2 linked regions of the Arabidopsis thaliana genome follow. The protein of the gene in region 1 interacts with the protein of each later gene in a biochemical or structural test. Each region holds a gene or a part of one and is shown in the gene's direction. Other genes may lie near its edges.

Region 1 (4,183 bases):
GAATTGTGTTCCACATGATCAAAAATCTTGGTTTGATTTTAAGTGATTCATTTACAGTTTTGAAGATCCCAATGAAAAATAAATATGAATCTCCAAATTTTCAGATAAATAAAAATTCAATAATTTTGGTGTATATTGTTTTATGGGTAATATTAGTAGATAACCAAATAAAACATACAAATTAAGAAACTAGCAGAGAGAAAGTTTTTTGTTACAAAATAACCATGGATCCCACGTTGTCGGAAGAAAGGAAATAACAAATCTACCCTTCATTTGTTGTAAGATGAACAGTAAACGAAATACATCCGTGTAATTTTTCAAAATAGCATGTAACATTAAAATTTCACATGTTATATTTAGTTTAAAAACATGCTATTTCAAAAAACGTTATGAATTTTTAAGAAAAAATATTCTTATGAAATTCTTTTACGTGAACAGAATCTTAAAAAAAAAAAATTATATGTGATTTTAATAAAAACCATGTATTACTAAAAAATAGGAATATATTTTTAAAGAAATCACGTGTGATCTTAATAAAAAACGTGTATTACTACAAAATATCATGATAAAAAGAGATATTAAACTGAATAGAATGTTTTTTCCAAAAAATACCAGGTGCTTTTTAATAAATACTATGTAATAAGAGAAAATAACAAGATAAAAAGAGGATATTATGTTATCGCATGTATTTCGGAAAAATAACATGTTACAAAGGACATTTACGTAATTACACGTGTTTTCCAACATGTTTCCGACAAGATACTGTGATTCAAGGTTAGTTTGTACATTCTTTTCAAATCTATAGTCATTTATTATAAATACTCTTGTTTTATTGTATGTTTTCTAATGTAGTTATTGGTTGTCATGTCATCACTACACAAAAAGATAATATTATGAGTGATTTTTAAGATTGTAGTGTTGACATTCATTTATTTGATATGAAGATTTTTTTTTACAAAAAAAGTTTACATAGAAATTTTTTACACTAAATCTTTATGTTTTTAATAGAGTTATCGTCTATATCAAACCTACATTTATTTGACATAATAGTTTATCTTATAAAAAATGACTTCATCTGTTCTTTTTTATTTGATTGGTTAGGAAAAACACACATATTAAGTTAAACATATTAAAATTGTTAAATGTATTATTTTTTGTATTTTACAATTTTTTATAACTTTAAATCAATAATATTCAATTATTTTTATCAAAGTTTATAATTAATTAATAATAACTAATAAATATTTCATAAAAAATCTAAAAATTAATCTTTTAAAAACTTATTTTTTTCAAAAAACAGAGAGTGTTAAATAGATAGATTTTTTTACACAAAACCCAAAAAAAAAAACTAAGACCTTGAATGTTTTTTAGATTTTGTAAGAGTTTTTGATTTTTGTTTTTTAAAAACTTATTTTAATACCAATCAAGATTTTAAAATTTTGGTTTCCCTACAATTTAGTAAAACTATTTTATTGTAGTTTTCCATTCATATTTAAGTTTTTTAGTTTTTCTAAAGTTTAGAAAATCTAGTTTTTACTCAATCAACGTTATTTTTTCAAAAACCAAAAACCAATTTTTTAGGGGTTTTTAAAACAAAAATATAATAACAAAAATCTAAAATCTATAGACTAAAATCTAAACTCAAAAACTGAATCGAAAATATCCATTCAGGCCTAATACATCCAATATTTCAATACTTCTTAACTCTTAACTCTTAAGTTTTAAGTAATTAAATATATAAAGATCTGTTGCCAAGCGTACCCTTTTTATAAACATTCCAAATAACTATCTCCATTCTTTGGAGTTACCCAATTTCGACGTTGAACACAAACCCTTGCTTCTCTCTTCTCTGTTTCTCTCTCGCAGCGAAAAATCATGGCGATTAGCTCCTTCAAGCATGAACATCCTCTTGGTTCGTTTTCGATTTAAACCTAATCGATCAATCTTGTTGATCTTTGTGTATCTCTCTCTCATCGTAGGGATTTTTTTAGCGACTAGGTTTAAAAATTCTCAAAATCTGGTTACGTCTATTTCAATTGCTTCTGAGTTTGCATGAATTGATCCTTGATTCTGATTTCCAACGATTTCAATTTTGATTGCGTTAACAGTTATAAGAATCCGCAAAATTATATGTTGAATGATTTTATCGCCGATTCTGTATTGTTTCGTGAAGTAGTATGCATAATCTTTGATTGAAACAAGTTTTGTGTTTATTGATGCAAATACATTATGATCTTTATTCAAGTGGAGATGAATATTGATGTTGAAGTTACTAAGTTTCACTTGTCTCTCTTGTGTTCCGTGGTCGAGTCTCTGTTGTTCACGGGGCGTAGAATCGCTATTTCAGTCCCTGTACATAATCTTTGATTGAAACATGTTCTGATTTGGTGCTGCTTTTGCTGAGGAAGCAAAATACATTATAGTCTCTGTTCAAGTGGAATCCTAAGATATTATCACTGAGTATGTGTTGTTCACGAGGCTTAGAATCACTATTTTAGTCCCTGGAGCCTGGAGTAGTAGTGTACATAATCTTTGATTGAAACATGTTTTGATTTTGTTCTACTTTTGCTGAGGAAGCAAAGTACATTATAGTCTCTGTTCAAGTGGAATCCTAAGATATTATCGCTGAGTCTGTGTTGTTTTACGTGGGTTAGAGGATGTTGATGTGTTGAAAATTGATGGATCTGTGTTTTTTTTGCTCTTGAATGTTACAGAAAAGAGACAAGCTGAAGCAGCACGTATCAGGGAGAAGTATCCAGACAGAATACCAGTATGAATTTTGGCTATTTTCATTTAAGAAAATTGCATAGCTTTTGCCTTATTCTCTCTGAAATTGTTGCAGGTCATTGTCGAAAGAGCCGAGAAGAGTGATGTCCCGGATATTGATAGGAAAAAGTAAGTCCTTACTTCTCTTGAGGAGTTGGATATAATCTCTTTCTTCTCACTGAAAGTGGCTTCAAGCCCTTTTCTGAGAACCCTACACTCCCTCACATTTAGTAATGAATTGGTTAATTGGATAGAAATAATTTTTTTTTATTGAAAGATCTGGAGGAATTTCTGGTTTTCATGGTTTGTTGCTTAGGGATAATGAATTGGCTGACTTACTATTCAAAACTTTAGGTACTTGGTCCCAGCTGATTTGACTGTTGGCCAGTTTGTTTATGTTGTACGGAAGCGGATCAAGCTCAGTCCCGAGAAAGCCATCTTCATTTTTGTCAAGAACATTCTACCACCAACTGGTTAGTTTCAAACACGTTCCTTAATCATATACTTTTCCAGTTCAAGGAATCATATCTTTTTCTCAGTTGAGCTAATAGTAGTAGTGTTATCCTTTTATTGCAGCGGCAATAATGTCTGCAATTTATGAAGAGCACAAAGACGAAGACGGGTTTCTATACATGAGTTACAGTGGTGAGAACACGTTCGGGATCTTCTTCTAATGCGCTTGGAATATGTGGATGCATCAGATTATCAATGTACAGTCTGTCTATTTCTCTGCTTGTCTCTAGTTTTCATGACATTGGACGAAGCTTTTGAAACTTGCATGCTATGTTATTAACATGATAAGGTCTTCCGTTCATGGTGTTAATTTGGCTTTATGCTACACTTAATTTCAAACTTAGTCGCTATATATAGTTGAGGTCACTTGGTGTCCTCCTTGAATATTGGCCCGGCCTATTTCACTAGTCGTTGAACCGTTACGATTTCTATCTTCTCAAAGTTAGCTCGACCGTCAAATCTCTAAGCTCTTGCAATCTCTGCTTCTAAGGAACACAAAACAGAGATAACTTTAGCTATAAATATTTAGATTTCAAAAGCAACTTGATTTAGGTAAATTTGTGCACACTCTAGAATAGATTATCATCTGTTACAGATTATTACTGTACAATCCAGCAAAAACTAGGCCTGGGATTTCGGATTAACCCAATGACCGAACTGAACAAACCGTTTTTTTGGTTCTGATAACCGACTATGAAGGGAAGGCTAAACCGATCGGCGAAATTATAATTGAAGTTCGGTTCTCGGTTCGGCAGACATAACCGATCAGTTTTCTCGGTTAATAGATACTATAAATATAAAGATAAAAACATTAGATCTAATCTTTTTAGCTTCTTCTCCGTTTCCTTTTGATCCTCATCCATGGCTATTTAGTCAATTCTCTCTATCTGCATGTGGTTTTCAC
Region 2 (5,887 bases), on another chromosome or scaffold:
GCTGATACACAAGCCCAGTTGCAAAACCGATCTACCAATAAGGAGGTCCAGGTTGAGCAAAATCCGAATAGTATGTTCCAAAAGAACACAGGGCAGGGTCGACGGTTTGGAAGAGGGCAGGAGTCACAAGGAGGTTGGGGTTTACCGGCGCAAGAGAATATGCACCATCACCATCAGAGGCCACCTTCAAACAGAGATAGACAGAAGCAAAATCTGCATTATGAATACAAACCTGTTGGGTCTCATACTTATGATGGAGAACGTAGTCGAGAACAATCGAAAGAGAGTTCTCAGACAGAAGGTCCAAGATACAGAGAGAAGGGACAGGGGCAGCAAAGGCAGGGTGGATACCAACAGCAAAGGGGTACTAGTGGGAGAAACGGTGGTCATGGATTCACTGGTGATAGAAACTAAGATTGGCCTCTTATTGTTATTTAGGTAGTAAGAGCTGCCATGCTGAGGATACTTGCATTTTGAGATATGGCGATTGAGGAAGCTAATTCGTAGGCACATAGCTTGGGAGATTGCTGAGAGGAGACCTATCCGAGGAGGTATTGGCAGATTAAAAAAAAAAAGTCTTTGTCTTGAGAGTTTATTATTATATGTTTCAGTCACTTGTTTGAATATGATTATAACTACTGTAGTAGCCTTTTGTATACACTAGATGAATACTCATGAGTATTTTTGTTTTTAAAGTTGCTTAAAAAAATATGATTATGTTTTTTGGTTGATTTTGATGTTCATTTTGATAAATTCCTATCTATTTAATATAATTTTTTTATTTTATGATTAGATTTATCTATAACTCGAAATATCAATTCTAGTATAATATATATATTTATATCTATTATTCTAATATTTTATTGTCATGATCACATATAAAAACAATATATGATATATTGATACAATGTATGCGTTTTGAAACTTGTCTAAATTAATTGTACAAACAATTATTTATTCCATATATTCTCTTGTCATCAACTACACAATCACATCATGATATGCTAGTAATTCAAGTCACACTTTAATTCTTTTCACTTGCATATAGCCATATAGAATCTCATATTTTTTTTTTTGTATGTCGAATGTCGAATGTCTCAAATGACTATTATATTATAAAATTGTATATCAATGTTACTAAGTTATTAGAACGCACCAAAATGTACAGAAAAAGTTCATATGATAAATTATATTCACAAAACGTAATAATAAGAAAATATCTAATTAAATTTACTAAATTTATATGAGGTTAGGTAGCAAACATAAGAGTTTTAAGAGTTTGGATTTTGGAATTGGTGGTGTTTGTTTCTCAAACTTCATAAATTAGAGTTTAAAATGTTTTTTTATTTTTTGTGGTCGGCATAAGAGTTGAAGTTTTAATAAAATAAAATAGTATCTGATCATTTTATTGGAGAAAACATAAAAGATGTAGTATTTTATAAGAACTCGAATTGGTCAATTTTCAAAATGTTAGTATGAAAAATAAAATATCTAGTTATATGTACTCGTATCTCTTGATATTTTTGGCTTTAACTTAGGGATGTTAGTTTGATTTGTCTTTCTGGATAAGCCAGTAGTAACCAAAAAAGTCAAAATCTTGTTGGCTAAGTCAGAAATTAATTAAATAAACAAAAGGGCCCATTAAATTAATTATTTTAATAAATATTCTGTGTAATGATATATAGTATAAAACGCGACCGTCTAAATTCTTGGTTGTTTACGAGAAAAGCGGATTACGGGTACGCTTCTTCTAAGATAAATCTCTCCCCGATTCTCTCTTTTTCTCGCTAGATACTCTTTTTCTTCAATTAGGGTTTCTTCTCGCTTGCCTTTTAATTCTCTCCAGCTGATCTGATCTCCGTTACCGATGGAGTCTACTGCTAACGCACTCGTCGTCAAGGTTAGAGATACAACCTTCCTTTCTTTATTTGCGAATCGTCAGTTTTCTCACAGTAATTGTCGGTGATTCTGGGTTTTCGTGGCGATCGTCTCGTTTCTGTTGATTTTGTTGCTTGTAATCGGTCCTTTCCTTTTGAATTTCGCTATGGATCGACTCTCTCTCTCTCTGTCTCTGTATTATAATCTTAAGTGTAATTCGAAAATTTTCCAGACATACTTAGCAGTATCTGCTTGAATCTTATACCCGAACAATGATTAAAACTATAAGTTATCGTAATTAGAATCGTAATCTATTTCTTCGACAATTTTTTTTCATTTTTTTCATTGAAGTGATACTAATTTTGTTTGTGATTATGTAGGTGAGCTATGGAGGTGTGCTTAGGCGTTTCAGGGTGCCTGTTAAAGCTAATGGACAGCTTGATCTTGAAATGGCTGGTCTTAAGGAAAAGATCGCTGCTCTCTTTAACCTCTCTGCGGATGCTGAATTGAGTCTGACTTACTCTGATGAGGATGGGGATGTGGTTGCCCTTGTTGATGACAACGATCTCTTTGATGTTACTAATCAGCGTCTTAAGTTCTTAAAGATCAATGTGAACGCTGGCGTGTCCACTAACTCTGCTGCTCCAGAGAGTAGTGGGAGTTCCACACCTGCGGGTATGCCTAACCCGGTTTCCAAAATCCAGAAGGGTATAAATGATGTTCTGATGGCTGTACCTAACCCGATGCGTGATACCATATCAAAGGTGTACATGGACCTTGCATCCAAGGCCTCAACTTCTAGTCCTGTAGTTGGTGAGATGCTTGATTGCATTTCCAAGCTAGGGCAGCTCTCAATTCCTCAGGAAAGTAGTCCTTGCTCACCTGTTACCAAGCCTGGTTCTTCAGGTGCTTCCCTGAGCAGGGATGTTCCTTCCGCTGGTGGAAAGAAGGATATCTCTGAGAGGACCCAGACCGGAAGGAAACCTGTTAATCTGAATGAACCCACTGGCGCTCATTCAAAGACTTCTGGTCATGTACCAAACTCGTCTGGACTGGGTGCTAATTTCAACGAGTGTCCCTTTAGTGGCAGTACCATGAATTACTCCTGTCCAAATCCAGTTAACCTCAACAAGCATCCTCGTCGTGTTTGTCATTCCAAAAAGAGCACCAATGGTGATTACTGGACTTCATTGGGTGTATTCCATAAGGGCATCCGTTGTGACGGATGTGGAGTTCTTCCAATTACTGGGCCTAGATTTAAGTCGAAAGTGTAAGGATGCCTTCTACTTACTACTTTAGAAACTATAAACATGCTAGAACTTATTGTGCTTATATGTTTCGCTTGTGAATATTGTGCAGTAAAGAAGACTATGATCTGTGCACCATCTGCTATTCGGTGATGGGTAACGAGGGGGATTACACAAGAATGGATAAGCCTGTATCCGTTCAACATCTGCATCCTTTTAGAGGACCGTTTACCCAAGTATTGCTCTTCTTCTAAGTTTATAATTACTTTTCTTCTTGTTTATTCTATGTGTCTTCTCTGATAGCTATGAGGAATTCTTACCCTTTTTTTTTTGGTATAGTTTCCTAATCCTTGGTTGAGCCACCCTGTGCCACGAGCAACCAATGGAGGTGCACCTCTCAGGTGTACTCGCCCTAAACTAGACAGTCGGTTTGTCCTTGATGTGAATGTAATTGATGGAACCGTTGTTGCTCCATCCGCCCCATTTACTAAGATTTGGAAAATGAGGAACAGTGGTTCGCTGGTGTGGCCACAGGGCACACAGATTGTCTGGATCGGTGGGGACAGGTTCTGCAACTCCTTGTCAGTTGATTTACAGGTTAGAAACAATTTCCTTAGTTTTCACTCTTTTAGCTCGATTCTTACCACTAACAGAGCAATTATGTTGTTTGAATTTACACTCGATGGCTTGAGTTAGGTTGTTTTCTTCACGAAGTGACTATAGCTGCTTGATTATATAATACTAACTGTTTTTTTCTCTCTTTACACATGGCAGATTCCAAAGGAGGGTGTGCCTATCTATAGTGAACTTGACGTCAAAGTTGATTTTGTTGCACCAGAGTTACCTGGTCGATACATTTCTTATTGGAGGATGGCTACCTCTGACGGTGCTAAGTTTGGGCAACGTGTTTGGGTGTTGATACATGTACTTACTAGATTTGTGCAGCTTCTGTCCTTTAATTCTTTGTCTCTTTCTATCATATGTGTTTGATACATTTTTTCTTTTTGCATGGTTAGGTTGATGCATCTCTGAAGAATTCTGTTGTGAATGAGTTTCATGGACTGAACCTTAATGCCTCCCCCTCCCTTGATGAGAATTTTCCAAGCGAATTTCTAGGGATTATGAATTATGAGTCAGCTCAACCTGGCAGCTCCAGTGTCAATCCTGGGACCGTGAAAGGTACTGATCTAGAGGGCGAAGTTGGTGAAACACAGGCCGTGGAAAAAGAAAACCTTTTGGTTGGTGAAGCTCATCCTGCTATCCCTCACGGTCATTCTCCTTCATCTTCATCTTCTTCATTTAACATGGTCGACTTCCCAAGCATGCCTGCTGTTGAGGTCTTGTCTGGTGGTTCTTCATCTACTACAAAAGACGTGCCAGTTCCTCTTCAGGAGGATATAGAAAAGAATGACGTGGAGATAACCATGCTCAAGGAGCTCGAGGAAATGGGTTTCAAGGAGATAGATTTGAACAAGGAGATCTTGAGGGATAACGAGTACAACCTGGAGCAGTCTGTTGATGCTCTTTGTGGAGTTAGCGAGTGGGATCCAATCCTAGAGGAGCTTCAGGAGATGGTAAGTGTGTCTGCACTTGGTGAATTTATTAAATCTTACTTTGCAGATTGGAATGTTGAAAATATTGTGATTTTGCAGGGCTTCTGTGATGATGTGACGAACAAGAGACTGCTGAAGAAGAACAATGGAAGCATCAAAGGCGTGGTAATGGATCTCCTCACAGGGGAGAAGGAGGCTTGATGAGCTCTTTGGTTTCTGGCAACTCTTCTCTATCTCTCTTATCTATCAGGAATAATTATGTTTTATAAATAAAACCTGATCTCTTAGTTTGGTTTCGTGCTGCGTCACATGGTCTGTTCCTTTGCTTTGTGTTGGGATGATGTTACTATGTTAACTCTATCTAAGACATGGATGGTTTCTTTCTTATTTCAGTTTAGTTTATGTCGTTCTGCTCCTCGGGTCAAATGAATGGTTGAGTCTTTTTTATTGATTTCATCACTTTAGGCCTTTTTGGTCTCCATTTCTCAGCTGTATTTGGCTTAATGTGAGTTTGTGAGAAGAGCTTTCCTTGAAACAACGTACTGTTTTAATTCACATTTACCCTCTCATCTCTCTCAATCAGGTGACATTTTCACGTGGTCGAATCATCGGCATGGCAGTTGCAATTAGTCATGGTGGTCGGCTTCATTAAACTGTTTACAACTGACAAAACTTTGTTATTCTATCCATAGAAACCATTCAAAAACCAATAAAAGTTTTTGAATAGACCAATAAAAGACATTCATAATTGATTTCACTTTTTGAGAAAAATTTACAAGTTTGAAGTAGTAACATGATGAGTTTGTTAGAATCTCTTTGAAGACGAACGAGTGAACAAACTCCTAAGGCTGTTTCTGCTGTCTCTAGTTTTCTTCTTCTTCATCTTCTTGAGGCCATCATTATCTGAAGAAGAGAAGGTTTGTTCTTCTAAAGTGAGTTCGCGTTCCAGTTTCTTAGAGACCGAAAGAATCTCGTAGGGATCCCACAGCGACTGTCCGAATTCCCAATCCAAAAACGACGGATGATGCTTTGCGGACAAGGCTTCCGTTTTGAAACGTGATGCCTTCCCTTTGACAAAAGCATGCTTTCTCTGCGCATCGAACTCTAAAACAGTATGTTTTGAGGTTTGGGAGTGGCTGAGCCAAGCCTGCGCAGCTGCCTTCATCAACTCTAGTCTCTTCTTCTTCTCCTCTTCTTCTTCTTCATTTT

What was found. Proteins that work in one complex are often made in the same cells at the same time.
Region 2: the proteins of ATG8D (region 1) and NBR1 form a complex in vitro, tested with the Arabidopsis thaliana proteins (one study listed by BioGRID).

What each region holds. Positions count from the first base shown.
Region 1 is NC_003071.7:2,082,468-2,086,650, reverse strand, and holds ATG8D (Ubiquitin-like superfamily protein), read left to right. Parts: upstream 1-1,768; 5' UTR 1,769-1,875; coding exon 1,876-1,912; intron 1,913-2,245; coding exon 2,246-2,352; intron 2,353-2,435; coding exon 2,436-2,460; intron 2,461-2,714; coding exon 2,715-2,770; intron 2,771-2,842; coding exon 2,843-2,895; intron 2,896-3,120; coding exon 3,121-3,239; intron 3,240-3,342; coding exon 3,343-3,440; 3' UTR 3,441-3,665; downstream 3,666-4,183. UniProt on the Arabidopsis thaliana protein: Ubiquitin-like modifier involved in autophagosomes formation. May mediate the delivery of the autophagosomes to the vacuole via the microtubule cytoskeleton.
Region 2 is NC_003075.7:12,739,324-12,745,210, forward strand, and holds NBR1 (ubiquitin-associated (UBA)/TS-N domain-containing protein / octicosapeptide/Phox/Bemp1 (PB1) domain-containing protein), read left to right. Parts: upstream 1-1,708; 5' UTR 1,709-1,867; coding exon 1,868-1,900; intron 1,901-2,258; coding exon 2,259-3,148; intron 3,149-3,237; coding exon 3,238-3,361; intron 3,362-3,464; coding exon 3,465-3,722; intron 3,723-3,899; coding exon 3,900-4,049; intron 4,050-4,141; coding exon 4,142-4,699; intron 4,700-4,777; coding exon 4,778-4,879; 3' UTR 4,880-5,347; downstream 5,348-5,887. Other genes in the region: MOS1 (modifier of snc1), read left to right, coding at 1-414; AT4G24700 (uncharacterized protein), read right to left, coding at 5,484-5,887. UniProt on the Arabidopsis thaliana protein: Autophagic substrate degraded in the vacuole by non-selective autophagy. Requires ATG8 protein expression to be recognized as an autophagic substrate. Acts probably as a receptor for autophagosomal degradation of ubiquitinated proteins.